Linked DNA regions of Lonchura striata. The protein of the gene in region 1 interacts with the protein of each later gene in a pairwise test. Links are inferred from orthologs where the notes say so. Each region holds a gene or a part of one and is shown on either strand. Other genes may lie near its edges. The genes, in order: EHHADH, microtubule nucleation factor SSNA1, DES and FUNDC1.

Region 1 (6,909 bases):
ATCCTGGGTTTCAAGAAGCCAAGGAGCAGAGTAAAGTCTCAATAAAACAAAAGTCTTCCAAGGCCAGGTCGGACAGGGCTTGAAGCAACCTGGTCGAGTGGAAGGTGTCCCTGGCCATGGCAGGGCATGGATTGAGATGACCTCTAAGGTCCCTTTAACCCAAACCTGTCTGTGATTCCATGCTAACAGCTGTCGTGCTCACAGGGCTGTGTTGCTGCTCTCCACACCTGCACACACACATTTGAAACAAAAATGAGCTGTTTGCTTCTAAGGGGAATGCAGAGTTGGGTATGCAACTGTTCTCCATCTCCACACTAGTTTTTAAGTTATTAAATGTAGTAACAGGGGCAAAGTTAACAATGCATTTAATTATGCCCTGCCTTACTTTATAAGACAAAACAAAAAGCAAAGATTCCAAGACATTTGAAAACCTTTTTTACTACAGGAAAAAAAAAAAAAAATCCTCAAAGGATACCCAGTTAGGACAAAAAGGTTTTTAAATATGTCTTTATCACGTCAATCTAAAACAACCTTCATGGCTGACAGAAGCTGTGGCTCTTCAGCAGAAATTTAAATTCTGCAATAGGATGCTATTGCATGGCCCACAGTGTGCCTTGCTGTGTTGTTCTAGTTATCACACCTGCTCCACCTTTGTAAGGGCTCTCTGTGCCAGCCCTGAGGCACTGAACTCCAGCTCACTGAGGCTCTGTGAGGCTGGGTTTTGGAGACTGTTTGGAAAATAAACTTAAAATTATCAGAGGACACCTCCTAAGGGTGTGACAACCAAAGGAGACTCTGAAATTATTTTGTGATCAAATGTTTACCAGTATTGGCTTTTACCACACATGAAGGGGTCAGACAAAAATTACAAAAATTGCAGCTCTTTTTACAGCAGATAATAAGTGGGGGGGAAAAAGGGCCATAGCTGTAAGAGGGAAAGCCGAAAACAGCTGTTGGATTTAGCTGGCCCTCCTGTCTGTCATTTCAACAGCAAGGTATAATTCAGGCCTGAAGTTTAGACCAGCTGATGACAAGAACCAGTAAGTTTTTCAGTTTTCAGAGTTCCTGCCCCTCTCAGCACTGTGGCCATGGGCTTTACCACAAATCTCCACTCAGATTGCACAATACAGCTGATAAGACCTTCCATGCTCCCCAGAGGTCATTCCCATAGAAATACTCTACTCCTACAGATGGGACATTACTGCACTCACCTTTTCCAGTCTCTCTGGGTGCAGCTGTCAAAAAAGCATTTTCCAGGAATTTTTGTTCTGTGTGAATAAGGTTAGAGCAAATCAAGGTGCTTCTTATGGAGTACCTTGTATCACTGATATACTGGAATAAAAATGAAGCTGAGGCTCCTATAAATAAAGCATTTGTTTTTATCATTCAGCACTTCCTGAACAGGATGATGATCCCGGGGGCTTGCAGGAGACTTGATATATTTGTGTTGCTCCAGCTCAGAAAGAAGTAGGAATCTTTTTTTCCTACTATGGCACTTTCTGAGGGGTTCAGAAGACAAAGCACAACATTTCCATCCATTAAAATCTGTTTTTTGGTAAAAAATACCTTCATCCCCACTATTCCTGTCTCAGAAGCCTTTTTCCAGAGCTGGGTGCTAGGTGTATTTTCTGAGCATTATTCTCTAGTGTGTGGTCAAAAGACCAGTAATCAGAGGGATCTGGAATAGTGAGATGTCTTTTCCTCTGGCAGGCCTAGGGCTAGAGAAAGCTGCCACCTTGTCCTGTGGCTCCATAGCCCACAGCTGCTTTCCAGGGAAGCACAAACTGCCTGGCAGCCCCCGCACAGCTTTAGAACAGCAGGGCTGACAGAGGCTTGCACAAGCTCTTGGGGAGCCACACAAAAGCTGGAGGAACAAACTGGACCACCCTGGTAACATTTTGCCATGGTGAAGTGCACTGACAGGCTCTTCAACCTGCACCCCTCCCATGTGCAAGATCAGCTCAGATGTAGCAGAGCTGCAGAGCCTTGGTCTGATTGCAGTGAAAAAAAGCAATGCTGGAAGAGGAAAACACAGCCAGAAGCATAATTGGGGCCTGTACCATGCACTTCTCTTTCCCCATTGGTTTGGGATCTGGATTTAAGCTCAGGCCTTTGCACTTGGTCATTACACAACTTCCAAGACTTAAAATCTCTCTGCTGTATATACTGAAATTCATTTATTCTTCTTCTCACTACCAAACTCCATTCATCTTGAAGGAAAAAGGGAAAAAAAGACAAGCACAACCTTAAATATTACCTGAACTTTTCCATAACAATGTAGAACTTTCTTCTTTTTTTTTTTCCTATGAGCTCTCTTTTCCCAAGCACTGCTTTCTTCTGTGTTTATTCGAGCTTGAAATAGGGCTGTTTTATCACAACTACAGCAGTTGTATTATTAAAGGACAAATAGATCAGACCTGTAAATTATAAACACAGAGTACAACTTAGACTGATCTTTGGTTTCATTCTGGTTAATAAAAATTCGACAGACCAGCTAGCCCTCCAAGGCATCATTTACACAATTTTTATAAACTCCCAGAACATGCTGTTTACAAGCAAATGGCAGAGTATTATCACTAGTTTAGGGGGGTTTGTAACATTATATAATAAATGCCAGAAGAGCTGTAGTGACCCACCACAATAGGTGTAACAATAAAGGTTATATAAAAGCAGCAATAAAGCTTGCTTTTAGTGAAGGACCTTTCTGTACATGTAAATCAATTTCTAAAAATGTGTACACCTGTTCCAGACCAGGGAAAAACTGTAGCCATTCTGCCCAGGGACTGACTTTTAAAGGCCAAGAGACATAAAGGGGAGATTATAGATATATAAATAAGAATATAACAATGTATAGATGAGAATATTTTCTGTCCTTTAAATAACATTTTAAAGCAACAAATACCTGTTGTAACATTAGAAACTGTTTCCCCTCCCTACCTCTCAGCTCTTTTTACAGTGGCACTACAGCACTGAGCTGAGGGGCTGGTTTGAAGTGATGCCCGAGAGGACCAGAGGGACAGAGCTTGACTTGGAGCACACATTAAATTCCAGTGTTGTCCCAGAAAAGGTTCTTTCACCCAGTATACAAGATGCCAATCCAACACTAAGTCAAGGTGTTTGATTTATTTACATTTGTGCACAGAAAGAAGGCTGGGTAGCAAATCCACAAAGCCAGCATAACTATCAAAACTTTTCACTATTTATACATTTTAGCAAATGAAGGTATTGGTGTTCATTGGCTGCAAGTTACATCATTCTCTTATTTAGTGGTCTGTCTTCTACTGATTAATGATTCTCTCATTTCTCATGCTAATTAGGCCAGTCTTTATCTTCTTTTGGGTCAGTGGTTTCTTGGGTCAGTGGTCTGTGAGTCGCTGGTCATGACCTGCTCCTGCCAGAATTACCTTTTACCCAGTCAGGGCTGATTTCAGCACAGTTGCTGGGTTGGCTTTATTAGTTTCTTCCTTATTTTGGGGGTTCTGCCAAATGGCCTTGTGGCCTCTAAGTTCTGCATTCTGTGTGCCCACTCTCAGTGGCACATCACACACATCCTTCTTCCCAAGCATTGTCAACCTCCCGTAGGACTGGGATCATTGAAACACGTGGAGCCCCAGACCTTAACAAGGCAATTCTACCAAAAAGGTTTTCTCTTCCCAACGCCCGGACAACACTTAGAGCTTGTGAGCTGAAACCTCCTTTCTTGTTGATTAGGCTTGAAAGTTATAAAGATCAAACATTAATGAACAACCTTCCTTAAGAACAGTGTCCATACTGTGCATTTTGCCACCCCAGCAGAGGCAGCTCTCCGCCGGCCCGGGCCGGGGCCAGCCCCGCGGTGACCGGGCGGTGGGGGCGGGCTGCGGGCGGGGCGCGGCGGGGCTGGCCCGGGGACACGGGGACACAGAGGGAGGCTCGGCATGGCGCACTACGCGAGGGGCTCGGCCGTGGCCGTCATCCGGCTCTGCAACCCGCCGGTCAACGCGCTCAGGTACCGCCGGCACTGCGCGGGGAGCGTGGGCCTGAGGACACCTTAGGAGCGGGTGGAGGATTCTCCGATCTCCTTCCCTTTCACCTCGTTCCTTCTCTCCGAGCCCGAGTGAGGCTCGCCCCAGTGAGCCTCAGCCGGGACTTCTACACCGCTCAGTACTCGCAGAGTACCGGCGGCTCCTTCAGAGGTAGCCTGGATCTCGCTTTGCAAACAACATGCTGAACTTTGCCATAACTTCTGCTCTTTCTTATAATTTCTAGCTGGGGAGTTTCACAGGAGAGGTGCCAGGCTCAGCAAACCATACTTTCTGCCATCTTCGTGGAAGGTGTTTAAAAACCTTGCTTATTTCTCATCATTTTCCAGTCTTTAAACATCAAGACTGCTTCAGCAAGGCATAGCACAGCAGCGCTAGCTCAGCCTGGAGTGCCTTCAGTGCTGTTTGGTACAAGTCAGTCCTCAGATTTCCTGGTCTGATTGTCTGCCCCACATTGCTCAGTACTTGCCTGGCGAATCCTTGTGCTATCCAAGAGGGCAAAGGGCTCTGTGGGTATCAGGCATGGTTCAGCAAGCAGAGCTGGCACCAGGATTAAACTCAGCCAGGGCTATCAGAAAACAGTTCATTTGGCCTTTAAAAACAATTAAGGAATTGACCTCTAATTACTGATCTTGGTAAAGAAGGGCCCCATGCAATCTCAAACAGGAGCCAGTGAAAAATGAAGTCAAACACCAATCTGTAGGAGCCTCTGAAATTTTAGTTTTTCATGTGTCTTGAAAAGGACTTACGTGCTTTTGGCTTTACATTAGTTGTGGGGTTTAGTTCCTTTAGTTCTGAATAGCACATAAACCCTTTCTAAGCAGCTGTAGTTGTTCAGTAATAGTGACCACAGTGTCTATTCAGTCTGTATTCACAAGCCAAAAATAATCACACTGCAATTGTGCTTGATTTACAAAAGAGAAAGTTCGTTAAAAAGAAGCTCACGGAGACAAGTAAGAGCATGAAAAGGAGACGAAACATGATGTTCTTCTGTAGAAAAGCTACACTGTAACTGGCACTGGTCACTCTTCTGTTGCAACTTGTTTGGAAGTGGAATGAGAACATTTTCACATGCTCAGGTAATTACCATGAGAAACTTGGAGTGACTTGATGAGTTTAGATGAACCAGACACGTAAGACTCCCAGAACTGTATGGTGTAAGACATCCTTTGGACCTCCTGTGCCCAAGACTAGTCTAAGAAAACTTCCAGGCTGTGCTCACAATAAACTTTCAATCCTTATCATGAAAAATACAAAATACAGACCTAAAGAATCATAGAATTGCTGATGTTGGAAAGATCTTTACAATCACTGAGTCCAACCATCAGCAGTTACAGATATGTGTTTAGGAACCTTAACTCCCCTCTTTTGAGAAGTCCTGGAGAAAACCCAAAGTCACCTCTGCCTTTGAATAGCAACAGCACAACAACTTCTTCAGGACAGATCTCTGCCTTTACTGCCCTTTGCTCCTGGCCCTGCAGTGCCCTCACAGCAAGGTGCAGTTCTGGTACACCAAGGGAGACAGATTGTGTGGTTGTGGTCCTGTCCCTCAGTCCCACAGGGAAGAAAGAATATCCTGTAGACTTCAGATCCATTAAACTACAACTTGAGACATGTCGGTGGTCTTTGGTGGCATACCAGGGCAATACCTGTTTTAAAAGAGATCCATAATTCTCACACCCTTGCCATCAGGTAGGTGTTAGCTAAGATGTGACTACAGCTAGGAAAGGTACAGCACACTCTGATCCCTGGGTGCTCCTCCTGTTCCTGCACATTTCTGTACTGGACCACAGGAAGCAAGTTTCTTAGTGCTGTTGGAAATGTTGGAACTGCACAGGTGATAGCAGGCAGTGAAAGTTACAGACAGGAGCCATGCCCTGCAATCCTGAAAATTTCATTTCACAGCAGGCACAAACGCTTTTTAAGACTGGTGAGTTTTTGCTGCTGTACTCCAACCTTCCCTACCTGTCTCCATTATCCACTTCCCCCCTCCTGGGCCATCACATTAGCCATTAGCACTTTAGAAGCCAATGGTGGGCAGGAATTTGCTTTCTCCTGTCTGACATCATCCTCTGCTGGTACCTGCAGTGCTTTTCTGAGAAATGTGTGCTGACTTGAGAGCCTGGCAGCAAATTCACTTCCCACACAGACTCCCCTTTAAGCTAATCACTCTCTCCACCAGCAGAAGTGGCATGTGCCAAATTGCATTTGTTTGGAGGGCTTTTTCCTGGTTTGCAGAAGTTTAGTATTCAGAGATCTGCATTTACAAGACCACGGCATTGAGAGAAGGGATCCAGATATGCAAAGAACTAGGAGGTTTTTAGTAGCAGAAAGACAAGACTTGCAAAAGGAAGGACTGACTACCCCTTCTCAGCAGAGGCAGGCCGCTGGCACCGGGAATTAGAAGGACTTTAAGGAGTATTTCAACATTTAAGCTGACAAGGACAGAAAAGCTCCAGGGAGGATAGGGGAGGCCATGCAGTAGGGCAGCTTATGTGTGGGATTCTATGAAGTGTGGCAGCATAACAGGTTTGATTGGGAAAAGCTCTCCCTGGCTGCCAGGGTTATCCTTCTGACTCTGATCACCTTAAAATTCAAAAAATGTAAAGGGAATGAGAGAAGCTGCAGATTCAGACAGGTAGCAATGAGGGGAGAATGTGATCACCCACAGATCAGCACTTCACCAGAATGAGATACAGAGAGAAAATTCTGGGATCAATAAGCATCTGCTTCCTCAAACAACTATTCTAAAATTCCAGTCAAAAGATGCCATTCTGGCTCTGGCCTTAATTTACGTGTGGGACTGTTGAAGCTGCATTAGCAACTTGTCACACAACAATATGTGACAGTAGCTGCTACACAGCTGGATCTGACACTGAAGCAAGGG
Region 2 (7,205 bases), on another chromosome or scaffold:
ATACAGTACACAGGATTTAACATAATTTTGGTTGTTCTAAATATATTTTACAGAGGTGAAACTGTGGCCAAACTAACCTTACTAATGCCACACCAATTAAACAGTACAAATGTTAAACTTTTAAAATTAGTAATTTCCCTTAGACTGTTGAAGACTACTTCCTTATTCCAGTCTGTTAACGTATGATGTGAAAACACCTGTTTTAGATCAGAATAAATGAAACTTTCCACTGTCTTAACAACTAGGAGAAGGTACAGTGGGATGGTGTTCCTTTAATTCACAAAACTACAAATAATTTATTTTCTTTCATCCTGACTGCATGTATACATACTTCACACCACCCCCCAGCTATGAAATCCTGCTGGACCTCATAAGGACTTCAGAATATCTCTCCTATCTTATAACACCTCCAACACACAAATAAGCAAAGCAATCCCCACATAGAGCTTCATCCTCCAGATGTTTTCATATATGCATGATTCCACTAAATGCAGCTCTGTTCAAGCAGATAAAATTACCGACTGTAGCAAAACTAAGAACTGCAATAGAATGTGGGACTAATTTTTGGACAGGTGAACAGAAAATAAAAGAGGACATCTCTGTATCCTGAAAAGTAGCACAGAAGAGCAGCATATGGGCATTGCACGTGCATTTAATTCTGAGATTACTACACTTCAAATTATTATCAGATACAATGAAATTCAGCGTATTAACAAAAGAGGCATGTTCTTATAATGCACCTACACACTTCTCTGTCATTAACAGTGGCCTAGAGAGCCTCAGCATTAAACCAAAGAAGGAAAAACAAATAGGATTTACAAGAATAATTGGGTATCCATGAACACATTTGTAGGGTTACACTAGTATGTCCTAAAAAGGTACTTGAAAGATACTTCCTTTATTTTACTAAAACTATTATATCAAGTAAAACTAGTGCAGCAATAAACATGTATGTACATCAGAATTTGTTAGCTTTATACAGAAAAAAGAAGCACTGATTTAAAGCTCCAAATTCTCTACTGGAATACTTCACCTTGTACCTTGACACAAACACCAATCAACAGAACAAAAGAACTTTTCCAAATTCAGACAGCAATTGCAATTTTCTAAACTCTGGCTGTTTGTTACCTAACACTGTTATTACCTGGAAAATCCTATTATTTTCCTAGGAAGCAGGGATGCAAAATAAGATCAGTTAAAAAAAACTGGGGATATTGCTACTGTTTATAAGCCTGTAAAAACATAGGAGGCTAACTTGACTGTGAACATACTTCTTCAAATTCCAGTCAAGAAAGGCTCTAGTATGTGCTACCTTTGATCTATTAGAGTTCTACATAGCAGCTAAATACAAAGAAGCTTTTTTCATTTCTGTTGGAGTTTAATCTATAGAGCATGTACCTACAAAGTACAACATCACAATACGCAAAGTCATTGAAAGGATGCAAAACAGCCAATATTACTAATGAAAAATTGGAAAACTATTTCATGTTATCAAACGTTGCTGTATGCCTAAATAAATGAGACATACTAGTTAAAATAATAACAAAAGGGTTTATTTAATCTTTGGGACTGTAAGGAAAACTACCATACCTGTAAAAACCAGAAAATTAATAGGTGTTATAATGCCTCAATGATTGCTTCCAATTAAATTCCCACTTTGGGTTCACTGCAATCACCCTAGCTGAGTACAAGGCACATTTAGTGTAAGACATCACTTGAGTTGATACTGGTTAATTTTAATGAGAAATCAGTGACTGGTTAAGTAGAAGTTTGTTAAAGATAACTTACCACCATCCCTCTCTCTAACTCTGTGAGTGTGCACACTTTTTGCTTTACTGTGCCCTGTGTTGTCACCGTATTTGTTTTCAGGGCTGTCAGAGCGCCGCAGCATTTTATTTGGTGGCGAAGGATCTGTGGCGTCTCGCATCTTGTCATGACGGTGATCACCACCACTGGGGTGACTCTTGGATGTGTACTTAAGAGCCTGTAACAGATCACAAGAACATAGGCATCTACATTAGATACAAAATTTTTGGATTTTTTTCTTCTCTTTCAGAAGTATTTTAAAAGTTAAATAATTTTCATTGCCTATTAAAACATATCAGCATTAGTCTTCCTAGTTTTAATTACCTACATTAAAGCAACAAGTTCTGTAATTAGAACTTAAACCAATTTCTCCCACTATTAAATCAAATGCAACACTTGCTGTTAAGAAGAATCCTAGTTTCTCTATCTTTCCACTGATGAATTACACAGTTTCAGCAGTAAATGGGCCACAGCTCTTCAACAGTTTTGGGAGAGGAACTAGTCTCCACTTGTTACTAGGAAAACAAACTTTAAGTTACACTGAATCAGTGTAAACTTCGAATATGTCCTCCATAATCTAGTAAAGACCACCTGGTTGCATCACTATCTTGAATTTCTGTGACGTTTTTTTCAGTACTAACATCCTTGTAATTAAACCAAAAATAATTCTAGGGGGCCAACATGTAACATAATAACTCATTATAAACTCTTTACCAAAAACTACATGTTCTGCCGCACTCTGACCTGCTTGGTTTTGTGAACTCCTGAGAGGCAAGTGTTTACATTTTTGTGAACTGCCACTGACAGCTGCCTTGGACGGCTCTAGTGCACTTCAGTGATTCAAATACACAGAAATGCAGTAAAACAGTCCAATTCAGGGCCCACAGAGAGCAATATCACAACATACAGCTTTCCACAGACTCGAACCTCGACAATTTGGTTTCTTCAGTAGACACAGTAAAGTGCAGTATCCACCTTACACAAATTGAGACTATTGTCGGTAACTCAAGGATTTGATGGTTTCTGAACATGCCTAGCAGCTGGCAACTGCAGAAATTAAGCCTCACTTGCAGCCCCAAGTTGGTCAGGCTCTAAACCCATGCCCTGCTCAGGTTACAGCCCACAGCAGCAGTTTTGGGGAGAAGAAAGGGCTTTGGGGAGGGGTTGGGGGAGGGGGCGGTGGAAGAGCAAGACTCCTTTTGTTTTTAGAAGAAAAACATTCACCTCCCTTGGATCTCCACTCCACCACAGGTGACCCCGGCTCCCTCTCCTGCCCCTCGCACCCTCCCCGACTCCAGGCCCGAGCCCCGCACGGGTCGCACTAGGCCGCTCCCGCTCGCCCCGGCTCCGCAGGCCTCGGCCGAGCAGCGGGGCCCCGCTCCCCGCGCCCGGGCCGCCGCCGCTCCTCCGCCGCGCGGCGCCGGGCCCTGGGCCCCGCAAGGGGCCGGACCGGGGCGGCCGGGGCACCGCGGCCTGCGGCGGCCGCCGGAGCCTCCGCTGGAGTAGCACCCCCCCCGCCTCCCCTGCTCCTCCTCCCGGCCCGGCGGTACCTGGTAGGGCTGCGAGTCCCCCCTGCGGTCGTGACAGCTGAGGAGAGAGCGAGAGAAAGAGAGAGAGGCGTTAGCGAGCGCCCGTTACCGGCCCCGCGGCCGGGCCGAACATGGCGGAGGGGGTGGGGGGGGCGGCCCCGCGGGGCCGAGGGGGTGAATTTACCCATCACTGAGTCTCTGCTGTTTCCTCGCATACATTACCATCAATGCCCGGCCTGTGTGTGTGAGGGTGAGGGGACCAGGAGGGCACGGCCGCGGCCGGGCCACAGGCGCCGAGGGGGGAGGCGGGGGCGGCAGCGCTCCGGGGGCAGGGGCGGGGGAAGGGGGCGGCTCGGGCAGCTCGGCTGGAGCGGCGCTCACGGGCCCATCGCCTCGAGAGGGGAGACGCTGGCAGCTCGGCCCCGCGCGCGCTGAGACACACCGGGAGCACCGACTCGGCCACCGCCTCCCCCCGCCGCGCCCGCCGCCGCCGCTCCAACTACATCCGGGGAACTCGGGCGACGCCGCGCTCGGTCAACGTCGGCTCTTTCCGGCTCTTTCCGACGCGCTCCGTCCCCTCTGTCCCCTTTGCTCTCGGGCGACTCTGCCTTCGGTAAACATCGGCTGCGTCCGCCGAGCCCGACGCCCCTCAGTCCCTCCCTTCGGCAAACATCGGCTGCCTCCGCCGCGCACGACGCCCTTCAGTCCCTCCCTTCGGCAAATATCGGCTCCTTCCGTAACGCTCGGCCCTCCCTGCCCCTCCCGCCTCGGCCCACTCTTGCGAGCGCTACCTGTCTTCGGAAAACATCGCGTTTTTCCGGAGAGACGTTTCCGTGCGGCCGTCAGGGCGGCGCCACGTTCGGAAGCGCTCGGGTATTTCCGTGGGCCGGCGCGGTCGCTGGCGGGAGCACGGGGCCGGGTAGCCGAGGGCAGCGCGGCCTCGGTGGCAGAGCCGCTCCCTCGGTGGGGAGGAATCGCGATCCTGCCAGGCAGGTGGGGGCAACAGGGGGAATTACGGGGGGCGGGGGGGACATAGGAATGGGAAGGTCTCCTCTTACCTACCCCCTCCTCCCCTTCCGCCCGGGCACTCGATGTGCAGGCGGGAGCCATTTTGTGCGCGGCGCGTGTCGGCGGGGCCGCGCTGTGCGGCGCGGAGGGTGTTAAAATGTCCCTGGGACGGCGGCCGCGGGCTCGGGCTGGCCTCGGTCCCGGGGTGTCCTCGGGGGTGTGAGGGCGGCACACGCCGTGGCCCCGGCACATGCGAGCCGCGTCACCCCAGTGTTGGGGGAGCTGCGGGCGCCGCCGTGTCGGGAGATTCCCTGGCCTTGGCAGTGCCTGCTGAGCCACTCAGGGCTGTGCCCGGTGACAGGACGAGGAGCGACGTCCATAAACTAAAACACGAGAAGTTTCACCTCAGAATGAGGAAAAAATTCCTTTGAGGGTGGAAGAGCACTGGATTAGGCTCCCTGGGAAGGGCGTGGAGTCTCCCTCTGCGGAGACATTCAATACCCACTTGGTTGCTCCTGGTGACCCTGTCTTGCCAGGGGGTTGGACTGGATGATCTCCACAAGTCCCTTCCAACCTTATGCATTCTGTGATTCTGTAGTTTTTGCTTATTTCTGACCAGGCCCTCGAAGTCTGATGTACAAAGCATCCTATATTCAAGGTTGTACAAAGGTATTATTAACCGTATCATAAATACTTCGATGCCAGTGCCATGGCAGTGTCATAAGGGACAGCAGTTTACAGTAAAGGTTTAAGAACATTTGCCAGATTTTGTCCTGTCTGCCTCCTGAAAAGGGAAGAGATGTGGCATATCTGAGAATGGGCCTGTTAACTTAGAGAACCTTGCCCAGTGGCTCCATCTGTGCTAGTGAAGCATTATTCACGGCAATGCTCTCACAGATTTTTTTTTTTTTCTGTTTGTTTGTTTGTTTTCCTTTAATTTGAGTGCAGAAGGCCATTGCTGAAAGGGGACTTCAGGGAGTGAGTGCAGGATGACTCAGCAGGGAGCTGTTCTTCAGGGTTACAATAATGAACTAGTGAAATGCATTGAAGATTTATGTATGCAGAAAGAAGAATTGAACAAACAAATCCGGCAAGCAGAAGAGGAAAAGAATAAACTCCAGCATGAAATCCAAGTCCTCAGTGAACAGCTGGAGTGTGTATGTGAAAACTTGGCCCAAAAAGTGGCTTCACGGAATGAGCTTGATAAAATACTTGCTGAAACTGAAGCTGCTTACATGAAGATTTTGGATAGCTCTAGAACTTTACTTAATGTCCTGAAGAAGGAAGTGGGAAGCTTAAAGCATTCACCAGATCTGAAAACCCATGTAACATGAAACAGTCAAATGTTTGGACTCTGCAGTGCTAGAATTCCACTAGGTGAGAAACGTGGTCAGCCACGGAACCCTACAGCCACAGTATAAGCAGAGAGCGGTTTTCTTCCAGTCTTTCTGTATGTTTTTTTATTTTCAAATGCACTAGAAAACAGATTAAATAAAGTTGCCGTTTTGCTTTAAGAAATCTACCTAATTGAACACTACGAAAAATAGCAGATAGGTAGTTGAGGCAGATGGGAGACTGTCAGTTTTGACATCATTATGCTTCAAGTCTTAGAAAAAAGGCATGTTTTATTGGTTGACTTCAGATGGCTCCCAGTAAATTATTCTTTGAAAACTAGTAGATGCAAGTCAATCAGATACTACTTCTTTTCATTTTACTAATGCTTAGGCTTTACTGTTGGGACCAAGTTGAAATGAGCTACTTTTACTTTGCTCTAGGAGCTCGGAGTTTTGATGCCTGCACAAAGACAGCCCCGTTTACAATAATTGCCTATTTGAATAATAGAGGGATAAGGTGAGAAATCAGGAGTAATGCAGGGCATGGAGGCTTAAAATTTAACACTGTATGTGGTTCATGCATCTTCTTAAGGTATTCTTCAAAGCCTTGTTTAGAAAGGAGATGTGCTGCAGTGAAAGGGTTTGGTGCAAGTGCAAAGACAGGTGCACCATGAAGGCTTGGACCAGTAATTCACTTGGGGGTAAGAAAATCACGTCAGTAGCAACTAGAAGTCCTGAAAAACCACTGGGGTCCAGTTAAAAATACAGAGGTAAATAAAGACCAAAGAAGATAATCCTGGCTAGAAGCCAGTAATAGAATTTTTGGAAGCCTTTTTAGTTCCTTTTAGCTTTAGACTGATCTGTTAAATAATTGTAATAAAATTGTGGAGAATAGTAAACATCCTAAAATGATATGAAAGAAATACAAATGAAAGGTGAAAGAAGAAAATGAGAAGTGGTTTTCAGCTATCAGTCATTCTTACAGAGGACATTAAAATAGAACTTAGTTTAGAGATCAGGGATAATATAACAGCATGGCATAAATATCAGTTTAATGCTGTTTTTTGTTTCTGCTGAACCTCTCTGTTCTGCAGAAGTCTCTCAGCAGTGTGTGCACGTACATGTGCATTTTGTCCCTCTTATTGAAATGTTACAACAATGACTTAAACTGAATCTCCATTCAATACCAATTACTTAAATTGAAAGAAGTGCAGTTGAAATCTCCTGACTTGATAGTGGTGTGTTTGTAAGGTGCACATATAGAGGGAATGAAGATGTGAATAGTTTTGGTAATAGCTCTTCATCAATAATAGGGAGCAAATTTTATGTTCTTCTGGTTGCCAAGCTACATCAGGGATGATTGTGACTAGGCTAATCAGTTTACTTGTATGGCCCTTTGGGGAATTCCCAGTGGGTAATGCAGAGGTAATAAAAGTGTATTATCTCAGGAGCATTGCTATTGGAGTATTGCAGCACTCAGGACCACTTTGTTTATGTTGAAGAGAAACAGGAAAATTTTGCTATTTTT
Region 3 (6,940 bases), on another chromosome or scaffold:
CACTGCTGGGGGAGGTGCAGTCCAAATGCGGGATATAAGGCCCTCTGCAATAGGAACTCAGAGAGCTGGGAAGAGCCCCCCACCCCAGAGATGTCCCTGATCAGCCTTGGAACAGCAGGTCCCTGCAGGGAAGCTGGGGATCTTCTCAATGCTGCCCTTAGCTCACCGTTCCCTTGAGGGCATCAATCTCACAGGTGTAGGACTGGATCTGGTGCCGGTACTCCAGCATTTCCTGTTTGGCCTGCCTTAGCGCATCGTTGTTCTTGTTGGCTGCCTGTGTCAGGTCAGACACCTGGGGAGAGACCAGGTCAGTGGGGATGGCCCCCGAGATGGACCCCGCTGTGCTGGGGCCAGCCCAGAGCCCACTGCCTCCCGCACCTTGGACTTGTACCACTCCTCAGCCTCGGCGATGTTCTTGGCAGCAATGCTCTCGTACTGAGCGCGGATGTCCCGCAGCGCGGCGGTCAAATCGGGCTTGGAGATGTCCATCTCCACCTGGATGTGCTGCTCCTGCAGCTGTGCCTGCAGCTCCCGGATTTCCTGCATGGACAAGGTGACATCTCAGGGCACCCACTCCATTTTTGCTGCCCCGTGAGTGCCATTGGAAAAGGGTGCCACTTCTGACCTACCTCTTCGTGCACCTTCTTGAGGAAGGCAATCTCTTCCTGCAGGGACTCGATACGTCTTTCCAGGTCAATGCGTGCTAGTGTGGCTGCATCCACATCCTGGGAAGGACAGAGAATGAGGGATAGTGGGAGGTTGCCGGGGAGCACAAGGGCTGGAAGGTGCAAAGCTGTGTCCAGGACCGTGCCCTGGTGCTGGGTCCAGGCTGCTGGGGGGAGATGGGGGTGGGAAGGAGGGTAGGGCTCCCACGCCACACCAAGGGGACAGGTACTCACAGCTCTGAATGCAGCGAGGTTGTTCTCAGCCTCCTCCTTCAGCTGGATCTCTTCTTGCAGCCTGTAGGCAGAGAAGGAAGGCTAGGGGGGTCTGGAGGAAGGTCCATCCCTCCGTGGTGATGTCCCCCCGAGCTGTCCTTAAGCCCAGAATGGCCCAGTAGGAAGAAAACAGATTGTCCTGTGCTCCCGGCAGGCAGCAGAGGACTGGCGGGGGGCCAGGGGCTCTTCCTCCTATTCCCTATTATAGTCAACGCCAGAGAGATCACAAAGACATGAGGTCAGCTCAGTGCCACGCACACTGCCCCAGCCCTTATAGGGGAGAGTGACCAGCAGCTGGGGGGACAGAGCGCAGGATCTGACAAGGAGTCCAGAGATGGGCACCAGCTGAGCTATCCCAGGGAGAGCAGGAGCACAGACAGATTTTGGCATTGCTGTGGGATGGGATGTGAAGTTGGGACTGCTGTGGGGGAGGTTCAGGTCAGGGCTGGAGGTCCAGGCTTGTGTCAAGGAAGGCAACAGTACTGCAGGCTGCATGTCAGTGGAAAGGCAGTGGGGAGGAGATGGAGGCGCCCAGGTGGTGCTGGCACATGGGGTGGCAGAAACCCAACACCCGTTTGTTCTGGGTCCTGCTCCTCCCCTGTCAGGGAGAGTTCCTTCATGGCACCAGCCCCCAGCTCCCCAGCATCAGGGAGAACCCCAGCACTGTAGTGGTGGCTGGGGTTACAGGAGGAGGCAGCAGGCTGTGTCACCCCGAGGGAATGGTGTCCCCAGGGCACAGGGTCCAGGAGGGAAGGTGCAGACCATCATTTGATTATCTGCCCCTAATGCCAGGTTTCCCACACATCAGTTCCCGGGGGTTCCCTCAGCCTGGCCATCCTTGTGGATACTCTCCACTCTCTTCCCTGGCACCAGCCAGGTCCACAGCATCTCTGGGGTGTCCCACTGCTCACAGGGCACCATGGACACTCACAGCAGGCCTGAAGCATCCCTGGCCTACAGAAGTGCAGCTGCTTCCTCCCCTCCCTCCTTCATTTCTGGAGCTGATGGTGCAGCTTCCCTGGGTTATCCATCCCCTTACTTCTGCCAGCCTGACTGCATCTGTCTGTCCATCTCTCCCACAGAGCTCAGCTCACCCATGGGCCCAGCAGCCCTCCCCGGTGTGAGCAGAGATGGGGACCCCGGGGTGAGGTGCACTTTGATCTCCCAGTGCTGTGGTGTTACAGCCCAGATTCAGCCTCACTGCAAGGGAGAGCACAGGGGACACCCCTGCTGGGGGAGCCACTCTACCCTCTGGGTGCTGCCCAGAAAGTGGTCAAGGGTGACAGAGCACTGGGCTCACCATGGGCTCTGAGCATGAGGCACGAGGATAGCAGTAAGCACCTGAAGAGCTGCCAGGGCAAGCTCTGCTCCCAGCCACATCTAGGGATGGAGATGCAAGGATGGATGCTCACAGGGACTCTCCAGGACCCCCCCTACTCACTTCTGCTTGAGCTTCTGCAGGTCATCGAGCAGGTTGTCACGCTCAACCTCCACACGAGCCCTCTGGTTGGTGAGCACTTCGATCTGGCGCCGGAGCTCCCGCAGCTCCTCCTCGTACATCTCGGCCACGCGGGTGGGCTCCTTGCCCCGCAGGCGGTTCACCTCGGCCACCATGAGGGCATTCTGCTGCTCCAAGAAGCGCACCTTTTCGATGTAGTTGGCGAAACGGTCATTGAGCTCCTGCAGCTCCACCTTCTCGTTGGTGCGGGTCTGGAGGAACTCCTGGTTCATGGCATCGGCCAGGCTGAAGTCCAGCAGCTCGCCAGCCCCCTGGTAGGCGCTTTGGTAGGTGCGCAGGGGCGTCACGCGGGTGGTGCGGAAGGTGGACAGGCTGGGGACGGCCGAGGTGCGGGACACCTGGTAGACGCGGGAGGTGACGGAGCTGCCGCTGCTGCCCTTGCCCCCGAAGGAGGCACGAGAGAAGACCGGGGAGCCGCCGAAGGTGCGGCGGTAGGACGAGACCCGCTGGCTGGAGGAGTAGGACTGGCTCATGGTGGCGGCGTGGGGAGGCGAGGCCGGAGCAGGGAGCAGGCAGAGGGCTGGCGAGCGGCCGGCACAGCTCGGAGAGGCGTCGGGAGCGGACGGCGCGCCGCTATTTGTATCCTGCTGCCAGCACCCGCCCCTCCTGCTGCCGGGCAGCTGCGGGACGCTGCCGCGGGGGATCCGGCCGGCAGCCCCCGCCCACTGCCCCTCACCTGCACACACCCCCCGGCACACAGGCACCCCTGGGCCCCCCTGCAGCTCTCTGGGAGGCCTTGACACCGGCCCCCACTGCTCTGCCCCGTCTCTGGCAGTGCGAGGGGAGGAAGTGGGGCAGACTGGTGGTGAACCCCCCATCAGGATGCAGCGCCACGCAAAGGGGGTCCAGACAGACAGACAGACAGACAGCCTAGGCTGATGCCATGAAGGGAAAGAGGGGAACCTCACAGCATCACTTGATCAAATGCCGTGCCAGGTCCATGGTCCCCAAACTGGTCTTGTGCACCCCAAACAGCCCCTGATGATGCCCTGACCCACCCCCTGGCAAGAGCACTAGGCTCAGGTCTCCATGTGGGGCCAGACTCCCATCCAGAAAGTGAGCAAGGAAGGGCCCTGGAGGGGGGTTGATGTGGGGGGACCCCTGCCCTGAGTGTGCTTCTACTGACTCACCACTCAAGCTCTCTTTCTGACATGGGGGGCTGAGCACTGGCCAGGGTCTGGGTGCTTTTGGAGTGCTGCTGAGTGACCCCGAGCAGGTGCTGGGTCTGAGCCCCAGTGACGGTGACGTCAGCCCCTGTCCTCGCTCCGGCACATTCCCAAAGCAGCAGGCACTCAACCAAAATAGCCTTCCCAGCTCATACTCGTGGGGTGTGGGACATACAAACGTGGTATTTATAGTGGGGGAGGCACTCTGTTAACCCTTCTTGCTCCAAGCACGTGGAGAGCACAGCTGGATGGTGACCCTGCCTGGAGCAGCCCTAGCCCCTCTCTGATCCCCATCACCCTCAGAGCAGAACGTAGTCCCTAGGTTATCCCAAGGCACAGCAGGCTCTTCCCTGTCGCCTCAGTTCCCCCCTTGGCCAGGAAGTACACTGGGGATCTGAAAGCCCAGCCCAGCTCCCCAAATACTCCCAGAATGGGGAATTTCTAAGTCTGTCTGAAAACCCCCACTACAGCTTCCTGGAAAAGTGGTGAGTCAGGCCAGGGACCCTCATGGCCTTGCACAAATGCATGACAGCTGAAAAGGACATCCTGAGGGAGGGCACGTGTGCTGGGGGAAATCTTCATGAGGGTTCCCCTTGCCTGGGCAGCATCCCCTCCTCCCCAGGCTCCCCAGCACGCCCGGTGACCCCCAGCTCTGTCCAAGCTGGGCTGTTTTGGCTGACGTCAGCTGGCTCAGCCCCAGTGCCTTTGTCACTGAAGGCCCTGGTGGAGGGGACCGCTGTGCCACTGGGCACAGGGTGACTCAGCAGCAGGACAGCATTCAGCCCTGCCTGGCCCTGCACCTTCCAGGCTTCTGTCCTGCCTGTAACACAGAAGCCAAGCAATGCCATGGCTCACCCACGGCAGCATCACCATCAGGCAAAGGCTCAGGCTTGTTCATGGAAGCATTCTCCACTGCTCTGGCTCTGGGAGGAACTCCCTGCTGCTGCCTCCCTGCTCCATGTCACTTGGGCAGCCAGCTAAAGTCTGGGTCCCACAGACATGCAGGTGAGCAGATGCTCAATGCCCTGCATCCCCTCTGCTCCTCCAAGCCCCCATCCCTGGAGCCTCTCCCAACCACCCAGTTGCAGAGTGATGTAGTGTCTTCCCAGTGAGTGCAAGCTGCCTGGAGGAGCCTGCCTTTAAAAGGGAAGGTATTTCCAGATGAGGTTGTTTCATCCCAGCATAGAGAGAGAATGGAAGAAAGGGGGGGCTTGTGGGGGGAGAGTAGATGGAAAAACAGACAGCATCCTTCCTCCTTCTGGCCCCATTCCGAGTGTGCCCTGCCTGTGCCTCAAGTGCCAGCAAGCCGGCCCTTAGCTGGTGTGCAGAGGGGCAGGTGGGTGCCCCGGGAGGGGGACTCGGGGCGTCTGTGACAGCACACCACCAGGAACAGAGTTCAGCCATCCCTTTCCATGACCCCACCCCACTGCTGTGCCAGTGGGGACTGTGGGGAGGATGGAGTCCTCAGGGATACAGCGTCCAGAAGTGCCTGGCACTCTGCTCTGATAGGTTTCAGGTAGGTTGATGCAAATCCCATCTCAGGCCTGGGTAGCCTTTGTTCCCATCCTCATCCCACAGAGCAGTTGGGGGCAGGGTTGGAGTGCTCCAGGGAGGGGAAATGCACTCTTGGGCACTGCTGCTTGGAGGGGAAGCAGCTCAGAGGGGCTAACCAGGAGTATCCTCCTGACCCTGCTCTAGGGCAGTCTGTTTGAAGTGGTCTTTCCTTAGCTGTGGTGACAGCCTTCCGGTATGGCTCTGGGCAAGCAGGGGCCCCACGTCTTGCAGAGGGTGGACAAGCCTCTTAGGAAATCCCTGTCTGCTTGGGGGACCCAGCATGCCAGGAAGGAGGGATGAAGTGCAGGACCTAGAGGCCCTGCCTGAGTCCCACGGACAAGATGCCAAACACTCTTGTGCCAACTAAAGACCCAGAGGCTGCAGAAAGTCAGGAGGCTGCAGAGGCCAGAAGTGCAGGGCTGCCTCCTGTCCTGTCTGGTCCTGTGCAGCCTCCCCACAGCTCCGTCCCAGGCCAGGCTGACCCAGACCGGCGGAGCCTGGGAAGTGGCTCCTGAGCCCCCGCACTGGCCTGGTCCCAGTTTCGATCAAATCTTGGATGAGACTGCTGCCGGGAAGGCGTTTGGAGCCGGAATGTCAAACAACTCCCTCTGGTCATGACATCCCTGTGAGCAAAGCCAGCTGCATCCTGCAGCTGCCCCTCCTTCCTGGCCCTCCCCCCGTGCTGCTCCCCCAGGATTTAAACCCAGCACAGCCTCCTTGGGCTGTGGGCGTCTTGGGGCTTGAAGCTAGACAGGATATGGGGACAGGGTGCTGGCCTTTCCTTGTCCCTATACCCTGCCACCAGGACCCAATGCCCCCTTATGCCTGGCCTTAGCTCAAGGGTGAGTTGAGGAATGGGAATGGGAATGAAGCAGCGGGGGTGTCCATTCCCCTCCCTCCTGACCCCTGGCTGTCTTCCTTCATCCCACTCCTTTTACAGCCATGAGCCTCCCAGGCGCCTTTACCCTAAGAGGGAAGGACTGTGTGGCCCATTCCCCAGTGCTGACGGATCCAGGCTGCACGCTATTGTCTAAATAGGAGGTGGCTCTCCCTCCCAGCTTGTACCAAGGCCCAGCCTGGTCTGATGGGGTCTCAGGAGTTTGTGGGTAAAGTCTCCAGTCCCCCAGCTGCCCCCATGCCTCTGCTCATTCCAGAGCTCAGGACCAGGGGTTGCACAGACTGTCTGTTTCCTCCTGGTCCCCACCTCCATGTCCCGTGGTGATGGGGATGCTGAGGACATTGTCCTGTCTGTGAATGACACAGAATGCTGGGGGTCCCTGGATGCCCCCACGGCAAGCATGGATGCCAGGGTTGTCCAGATGCAACCTGTATAGATGCTAGGAGGTGTTTGCTCCCCTCCCTTGGCCTTTGCATGTCCTCTGGGTGAGTTGTTGCCTCTATATTTCACAAGCATGCTGGGGGAGACCAGCTACTTCCGTGTCCATGTGGTTGCTTGATGCATACACCTGCCCCATCACTCATCTACAGCTGGCCCTGAGGTCCATGGGGATGTTGGGGATGTCCCCACATCCCTGCTGCCTAGGGGCAGGCTAAAGGGTGTCCTGCCCTCATGGTCCATGGGGACATTCACCTGGCCCAGCAGTGTGGAGATACTGAAGATGTCCAGCTGCCCTTGTGATCCATGTGGACGTGGGGATGACAGAGTGGCTGGGTGGTCCATAAGGATGCTGCAGGCCTCGATAGCATCACCCATGCCAATGAGATGAGGTTGCATTACCCGCTGCATCGCTGGTGGCTCACGT
Region 4 (7,192 bases), on another chromosome or scaffold:
ACTGCCAAAACAGCTATGATAAAACTATCAAACCAAAGTAAAACAAACACATTTTAAATTCTCCCTAACCATAGGTTTACAGGCAGTTCCTCTCATCTGGCAGTGTCAAATCACACACAGTACCTCAGCTTCTGCACGGAAGTTCTCTTGTCTTACAACAAACTATTTTACAGGACAGAGTAGATTCTGATTTACCACTGATTTTAGAAATGTCTCCTTTGTACATTTGTACACAATATTCCAGCTCAAATGTAAGGTTTTGACTGATAAGACTAAAAAGATGAAGTAGGTAAGATGCCTTCCTAATTAAATGTTACCCAACAGCTGTGCTTTTCCTATTGTTTAGTAAATAACATTTGCCAACTTATAAAGCATGAAATGCTACATACTTGAAGCAGAAGAAAGCCACCACCTACTGCAGTTGCTGCAAGCTTTCCGACTTTCTGGAACAAAAATCCCGCACACCTTAGGGGAACAAAACAAAACAAAAAAAAAACCCAGTCTAATGAAGTTTTCTGCTAAACAATGCCACACTACACAATTCCTGACTACAACTATTACCATTATTTCATATAAAAAGCAAATGTATCACTTCATATTTACAAATTTAAAAATCAAGGCTATTTAATTCAAGCAATATTAAATTAACAATGTTTAAAACAATACAATGTGAGTAATGGTTGCCTGTTCCTGGCTGTCTCATGGCCCCTTTAAAGTAACCTTGAGATCCCAAGATCTTACTGCTATTAAATGTAGCATGTTAATAAAGCACAGCATAATTACATAACAGTGCTACTATAACTGTTCCCAAGTGGAATGTAAATATATTATACTGTAATTTATATTAACTACACAACTCATAACTGAAATATCTCAGTAAAAAGCAGCACATTCCTATCACAAGAGTTAAACTCAGTGAGGGCACTCTGCTGGGACATGGTGTTAAGTCTATTTTTAATGGATCAAGGCAACCAGAAAATTACCTTGTTCTCAGGCTCCAAACCTCCCTCATCAAATGGAGAACAGATATGGATATCACAGAACAATGACAAGGCAGGAAGGGGCCTCTGGAGGTCACCTGGGCCAGTCACCTTCCCAAAACTGCTGCAGAGCCCAATCCAATCTCAAAGCTGGATCGGGCTGCCAAGAGCCCTGACTCAGACATGAGTTTCCAAGGCTGATGGTTCCACAACTTCCCTGGGCAATTCCAGTGTGTCTAAACACTGGCTCACATGCAGAGGGGAATTTTTTCCCGCTGCATATAAATAGTGAATTGTCATTTATATACATCAGTAGGCAGCCAGAGAGATGTGCATCTACAGATACTGAAATGTGCATTTTCCAGATCATTCAATAAGCCAGTTTTTATGGATGCCAGATGAACTATTCCCTAGAAACATCTGAGTTTACACGTACACATATAACTTTTTAAAATAACTCTAAGGCTACAGAAGCAAATAAAAAATTCTGACTGAAAGCTAAACCCACACCACAAAGCTGTACTGAGCTGGGTACAATAATTTCATTTTTAGTTTATTTCATCTTCTAATCCTTGCATAATCCCTCTTTAAAAGTCACTTTGCTACTATAATGGTGTTTTTCAATGAATTTACAGTTTTTCTGTGTACTGGAGTAGACAAATACCATTCAAATACCTCTGACAAATAACAAATACCTTGACACAGCTGCTCAGGCTGTGACCACATTTTCCAGTTTAAGTTCTCATCCTGACTGTCTAGCTTTCACCATGAATTATTCTAGTATAACTAGGCTATGTATCAGTTAACATCACAGTAAACTGTGAATTTGCTCAACATGGCTGCAGCTCAATTTAGAAGAAAAAAAGTCTCCAGGAAATGAGGCTCTTAATTAAAAGTACATTTTGCCATCCTTTTTTCCTTCCTTCATTTCTTTTACCTGTAAATATGTCTCAGCCATAATATAACTAAGTTTCTAAATCTAGATAAGGAAGTATGCTCTTCCATACAGAGTAAAAGCTACATGTAGTAATTTTCCATTTATTTCTTGTCATTTTAGAGCTCTGACATTTTCCCAAATCTTTTCCACAGTAACTAGTATGAGTTCCCTTGGATAACTCATGTTTCACCACTATTAAAAAACACTTCATAATGAGTCAGAGTAACAAGCTAAAATTGTTCACACATGAACAATCTTGATCAATGCTAAAGGAAATCCCATTAAACATGTATTTATCTGCTTTCAAATACCCTTGGAAATGGATCTCCTAACAAAGTAAAATGTCTAGGCCAGTTATGGAAAGGGAAGCTCCCTCACCAGCCAGTCACACCTCCCATCACAATCTGTGTGGCTACAGAGTATTTTTCTACAATTGGTCCTGAATTCCGGCCAAACAAGCGGTTCCACCAATGGTGACGTCGAGCATATTCTGTTAAATCCAGCACTTCGTAGGAATCGTCGTCACTGTCGTGGTCTGAAATAGAAAAAGCAATTTTTAAACATGTTATCTTCTCAGTTATAGAGTAAATTAACAAGTTATGTGAAAGTCCCAGACTCAGTTTGGGCATTAACCGGGTAATCCAATGGTTTCAACTGTAATGTACAAGTTATGGTCCAGCAGCTCCCAGAACAAAGGATTTGGGGATTCTATGCCATCACCAAGGTAAGGTGTAGAAGGCTACAGCAGTGGTATAATCAATAAAATCCACGCCTGGCACTGCAAAGGTGAACAAGAATCCCCTGCCTGTTCAAGAGACATCCGATAAAACTACCAGTCATCTCATTCACCACAAACAAAAAAACCCAACAAAAACCAAAGGGACAGACCAACATTTGGAAAGATTAAGAACTTCTGGCCCAGTGCTCTCCTCAGAGGACCAGGCATCAGCATTTGCCAGGAAGCGACTTCTGTTCCTTTTCCAGTGAAACAGATGACACAGGGACTTCAGTTAGGTTCCATGTTTTCAGGACAATTCTGTCAATGTTTTCAAAACAGGCATCCTACAATTTCAAATTAAGAGATCCTCAACACTGTGTATACTCAAGCATCAGAGGAAAGAGATGGGTCTAGATTTTTAAAGAAAAATATTTTAAAAGTGTATCACAGTCTGTGACATACACACATGAACTGAAGTCCACTTTGATTAAATATATTTAAGGTTAAATCTAAATTCAGCACTATGGGTAGGACATTCCAGAAGAAGTTAAATTTTTACCTAGAATTAAAGCAAGACTGTAAATATAAACATTTTATTAAAATTTTGACAGTTTTTTAACTTGTACTACCAGTATGGGTAAAAGCTTCAAAGACTGCAAGAAGTACATATATAGGTGGGCATTATTTCTCTTTATTACCATATGTCCTTGAGTACTAAGTAATAAATAGTGAGACCTATAATGCTAAAAAATTGATATTGAATGTTCTTTCTTTGCAGTACTGAGGACAACTTGTTTAACTTCTTTGGATGGAGAATATTAAAACACTGTCATGAACAGTCACAATAATTCCGCCCTTAAATTATTATTATTTAAACCAGAACTAGTGTACACATCCATAACACGCTCTGTGGCAAATAACTGCCAGAGCGTTTTCTACCGATGAAAAATCCTCCTGCATGCGACAAATGATGTTCCGCACACTGCCCAAGCACACGGAACGTGCCAGTGCCGAAAGGCGCCGCAGGACGAGGCCACAGCGATGCCCGGAGAGCCCCGCGCGGGGAAGGATGCGGCGGCCATGGGGGCTGGAGCCTCCGGTCCCGCATCCCCCCGGCACCTCCGGCTCCGTGAGGGCTCGGCCGGCCCTCATTCTGCCCGCGGGCCTGCCTAGAAGGGGTTTGGCTGGTTAAATCCCGGGAACGAGCTTTAGCCCGGGTGATGCCAGGAGCGCCGGGGCCGATGCGCCGGGCCGCGCGGTGGAGGGGGGGACACGCAACGGACAAGGGAGGCGCAGAGCCCGGGCCATCCCTCCCCGCCCCCGGGACGCAGCGGGAGGGGGCTGCCCGCCGCCCCCGAGAGGAGGAAGGGCGCCCGCCGCGCCGCCTCCTCCGCGCTCCCGTCAGGAAGGGGCCAGCACTGACCTGAGGCGGAGCGGGGCCGCCGCGCCGCCATGTTGGCCGGTGCTGAGGCGGCGAGCGGCCGCCCCGCTGCGCCCCCAGCGGCCGCTCGCGCCCCGCCCCGCCGCGGTGCCGCCCCCTCGCGGCCGCGCCGCGCATGCGCCTCCCGCTCCCCTCACCCCGGGGAGTCCCTGAGGGGGAGGCTGCGGGAAGGGGCGCGGGCTGCGCGGTGGGAATAGTGGCGTATCCCGAGCTGGAGAGGACCCGCGGGGATCAGCGAATCCAGCTGGCTGCCCTGCGCAAGGCACCGCAAGAATCCTGCCGTGTGCCTCAGTTATCCCGACGCTTCTTGAGCTCTGCCGGGCTGGTGCTGTGACCACTGCCCTGGGGAGCCTGTTCCACTGCCCAGCGAACCCGCTGGAGGAAGAATCTTTTCCTAATATCCAACCTAAACCTGCCCTGACACAGCTTCAGGGCATTCCCTCGGGATGTGTCACCGTCATCACAGAGTGATGATCAGTGCCTGCCCCTCCTCTCCCCTCACAAGGAATTTGTGACTGCACTGAGGTCTCCCCTCAGTCTCCTCCAGGCTGGACAGACCAAGCGCCCTCAGCTGCTCCTCACACGCTTCCCCTCAAGGCCTTCCACCATCTTCGTTGCCCTCTTTTGGGCTCTCTCCAACAGTTCACTGTGTTTCTTGTATTGTGGTCCTCAAAACAGCACACGATATTCAAGCCTGTGCCTTGAGGGGCTCATTGATGCCAGTGGTGGGGGTAAGAACCCCAAAACCTTCTCAATATCTCCCAGTGGCTGCAGGCATGGCTGGACAGCAGCTGCGTGCCACGAGCCCCATAAAAATTAATAACCAGAAAAAACCAAACACAAGGCCCCTCAAAGTACAAAGGTTAAAGCCAATGTGAGCTGTGAAACATTGGAAAAAACTAAATTTGAGCCCTGGTGTGCTTGCTCCTTCAATGCGTTGGTGGGGTTTCAATGGGCTAAAAGCCACATAATTGTATTTTAGGACTGTTTTTTTAAATGTATGCAGCCGCCACGGAGGTGGCTGACACAGTAAGTGCACCTTTAGGAGCTTTATTGCAATATGAATGAAGAAAACATCAAGGAACTTAATTTATAAATAATAAAATTGAAAACAAATTATTTAAAAGTGTTTACAGCTTCTCACTTGGACTCTTACACTGTCAATACACAAAGCAGGTAATTATAATGAATAAAATCCACTTTTCTGTATGTCATAAAGCTATTTTTATGGAGTAAGCATTTAGGATTTTAATTAAACCCCTTAATTACACCAGCCTTTACAGACATACCAGAAGAGGGAAGAATGTATCTTCCACGAGAAAGTCCTTCTGTAGTCTGCTCTGAAACTGAAATTAGCATATAAAACTTGAAATTAGTGTATAAAGTGGTTGTTTGCTTATTAAATTATTTTTATTACAAACATTTGCCATTGTGATAATTAGGTGACAGCATGCCAGACAGAACTGGTAATATATTGCTTTCTCTAAGGTTTTCAACAGATACATTCCTATAAGGAACAAACAGATTTGTCTCTTATGATTTGTTTTGACAAACACTGTGCATCTTGGGAGTTTTCTTGTTTAAGCATAAAATTGGTGGGTTTGGTATTCCCTTCCCAGTCAGTAAAAAAGTGCTTGTTGACATTTCCCAGTCAGATGCCAGTAAGGTAAGAGAGGTGACCAGAGAGTTTTGCTCACGTTGTGTGAGCCTGGCTATTTTTGTACCTTTTGTAGCTTGAATTCTTAATATTTGGCTTCCCTATTTTTAACTACTATCAGTTAAAAAATAGCAGCACTTCTGTGCAAACAATTATATTAATTTCCTTTCAGAACAGGGAGGTTTGTATAATTAGCACTTTTAAAAGATTAACATTAGTAGCTGCATCATGTACTACCTGCGAATTCTGTTTGCTTCCTTTTGCACCCCTCTTGCCAAGTCAGGGTGGTGTGAGTGGCAGGGAAGGAGTTTAGGAAAGACCCAGGGAAAGCCCTTTGGCAGGTTTCGGGTTGTGTTGTCTCTGTTCTGGGATCAGGATGCACCCCAAGGCGTTTCCCAGTGGGTTCCAGTTGGATGGACACCACAGTAGGATGCAGTGGTGCTCCCAGTATCTGCCTGGGATCTGCAGGCACTGCCTGGGGGATTGGCTCAATGCTTGCACAGAAAATGATGTCAGGATTGTTCTTGCTCCCAGCAAAATCCGTACCCTGTGCAGAGACAGCAAACCTCGTGGCTCCAGAGACCAAGAATAACTGGCAGAGCTTTTACCAGCCCCACTGTGATGTATAAAATTCCCCAAGCCCATTCAAATCTCTTGCACCCTGATGCTTCCTTCAAGCTATTAATGGCAGATTCTGACAGATTTTCCAAGGAAAGGTAGACAATTTAAACTCAGGCCACATTTTGGCTTCACCCTTAAAGGTTCTTCAGGAACAAAGTGTTTTCCTGTATCATCAGAAGGACTGCGCAGAAAAACTGCTCTCTTTGCTCTGTAAATGCTACCTACAAGTTCAGGCTGTGCAGCCACCCTCTGTACCTTATAGCTGTGACAAGCATGTTCAGGGTCACAGCTTGCAATGGAACATACATGGCACACACGTACCTTACAAATAATAAAAAACTCCACACTAAGCAACCAAAAACCCCCAAATGCCCCAAAACCCCAAAAAGCAGAAGAGAGACCCCCAATCATCAAATGCCTGTGCGACTCTAATCCTAGCAGCTTTGTGCTGCTGACCAGAATTCCAAACTGGAACATACATCCTTTAATTTTTTACCACCTTGCATGATTAATTATAGAAACTAAAGGCAACACACACTGCCAGCCCTCTCCACTAGGCCTTGCTTGTGAGTGAAACTTATGTTCTCCACAGGCTTAATCTAGTAAATGCAGTCAGAATAACCTGGCAATAAAGGTATTGGAGTGAATGGATGATTCCTTTTTAACAACCCTATGTGAACATGCTGTTATTCAAAGCTCTGTTGGCTGGAAAATGGCAGAGAAATGTCTGGGAAGGGATTTGGGTTCTAAGTCCATCAAGATCCTGGGCAAGGGCTGTTGTGGAGCAATAACCTGGACTGTTAATGCAGTAGGAAGCTCCATGGCTTCCTGACAAAGA

What was found.
Region 2: the proteins of EHHADH (region 1) and microtubule nucleation factor SSNA1 interact in binary tests that used the Homo sapiens proteins (3 or more experiments, as listed by UniProt). The two-hybrid records come from large-scale screens. The link is inferred for Lonchura striata from reciprocal best matches to the Homo sapiens genes EHHADH and SSNA1.
Region 3: the proteins of EHHADH (region 1) and DES interact in binary tests that used the Homo sapiens proteins (3 or more experiments, as listed by UniProt). The two-hybrid records come from large-scale screens. The link is inferred for Lonchura striata from reciprocal best matches to the Homo sapiens genes EHHADH and DES.
Region 4: the proteins of EHHADH (region 1) and FUNDC1 interact in binary tests that used the Homo sapiens proteins (3 or more experiments, as listed by UniProt). The two-hybrid records come from large-scale screens. The link is inferred for Lonchura striata from reciprocal best matches to the Homo sapiens genes EHHADH and FUNDC1.

Annotation. Positions count from the first base shown.
Region 1 is NC_134612.1:6,533,636-6,540,544, forward strand, and holds the start of EHHADH (peroxisomal bifunctional enzyme), read left to right. Parts: upstream 1-3,891; 5' UTR 3,892-3,917; coding exon 3,918-3,988; intron 3,989-6,909. UniProt on the Homo sapiens protein: Peroxisomal trifunctional enzyme possessing 2-enoyl-CoA hydratase, 3-hydroxyacyl-CoA dehydrogenase, and delta 3, delta 2-enoyl-CoA isomerase activities. Catalyzes two of the four reactions of the long chain fatty acids peroxisomal beta-oxidation pathway.
Region 2 is NC_134603.1:141,329,162-141,336,366, reverse strand, and holds the start of microtubule nucleation factor SSNA1, read left to right. Parts: upstream 1-4,205; 5' UTR 4,206-4,328; intron 4,329-5,291; 5' UTR 5,292-5,332; coding exon 5,333-5,677; 3' UTR 5,678-7,205. Other genes in the region: WAC (WW domain-containing adapter protein with coiled-coil), read right to left, coding at 1,789-1,984, 3,357-3,393, 3,520-3,560. UniProt on the Homo sapiens protein: Microtubule-binding protein which stabilizes dynamic microtubules by slowing growth and shrinkage at both plus and minus ends and serves as a sensor of microtubule damage, protecting microtubules from the microtubule-severing enzyme SPAST.
Region 3 is NC_134610.1:16,073,080-16,080,019, reverse strand, and holds the start of DES (desmin), read right to left. Parts: upstream 3,006-6,940; 5' UTR 2,931-3,005; coding exon 2,380-2,930; intron 961-2,379; coding exon 900-960; intron 726-899; coding exon 630-725; intron 541-629; coding exon 379-540; intron 293-378; coding exon 167-292; intron 1-166. UniProt on the Homo sapiens protein: Muscle-specific type III intermediate filament essential for proper muscular structure and function.
Region 4 is NC_134604.1:110,767,735-110,774,926, forward strand, and holds the start of FUNDC1 (FUN14 domain-containing protein 1), read right to left. Parts: upstream 3,001-7,192; 5' UTR 2,870-3,000; coding exon 2,806-2,869; intron 2,453-2,805; coding exon 2,296-2,452; intron 466-2,295; coding exon 390-465; intron 1-389. UniProt on the Homo sapiens protein: Integral mitochondrial outer-membrane protein that mediates the formation of mitochondria-associated endoplasmic reticulum membranes (MAMs).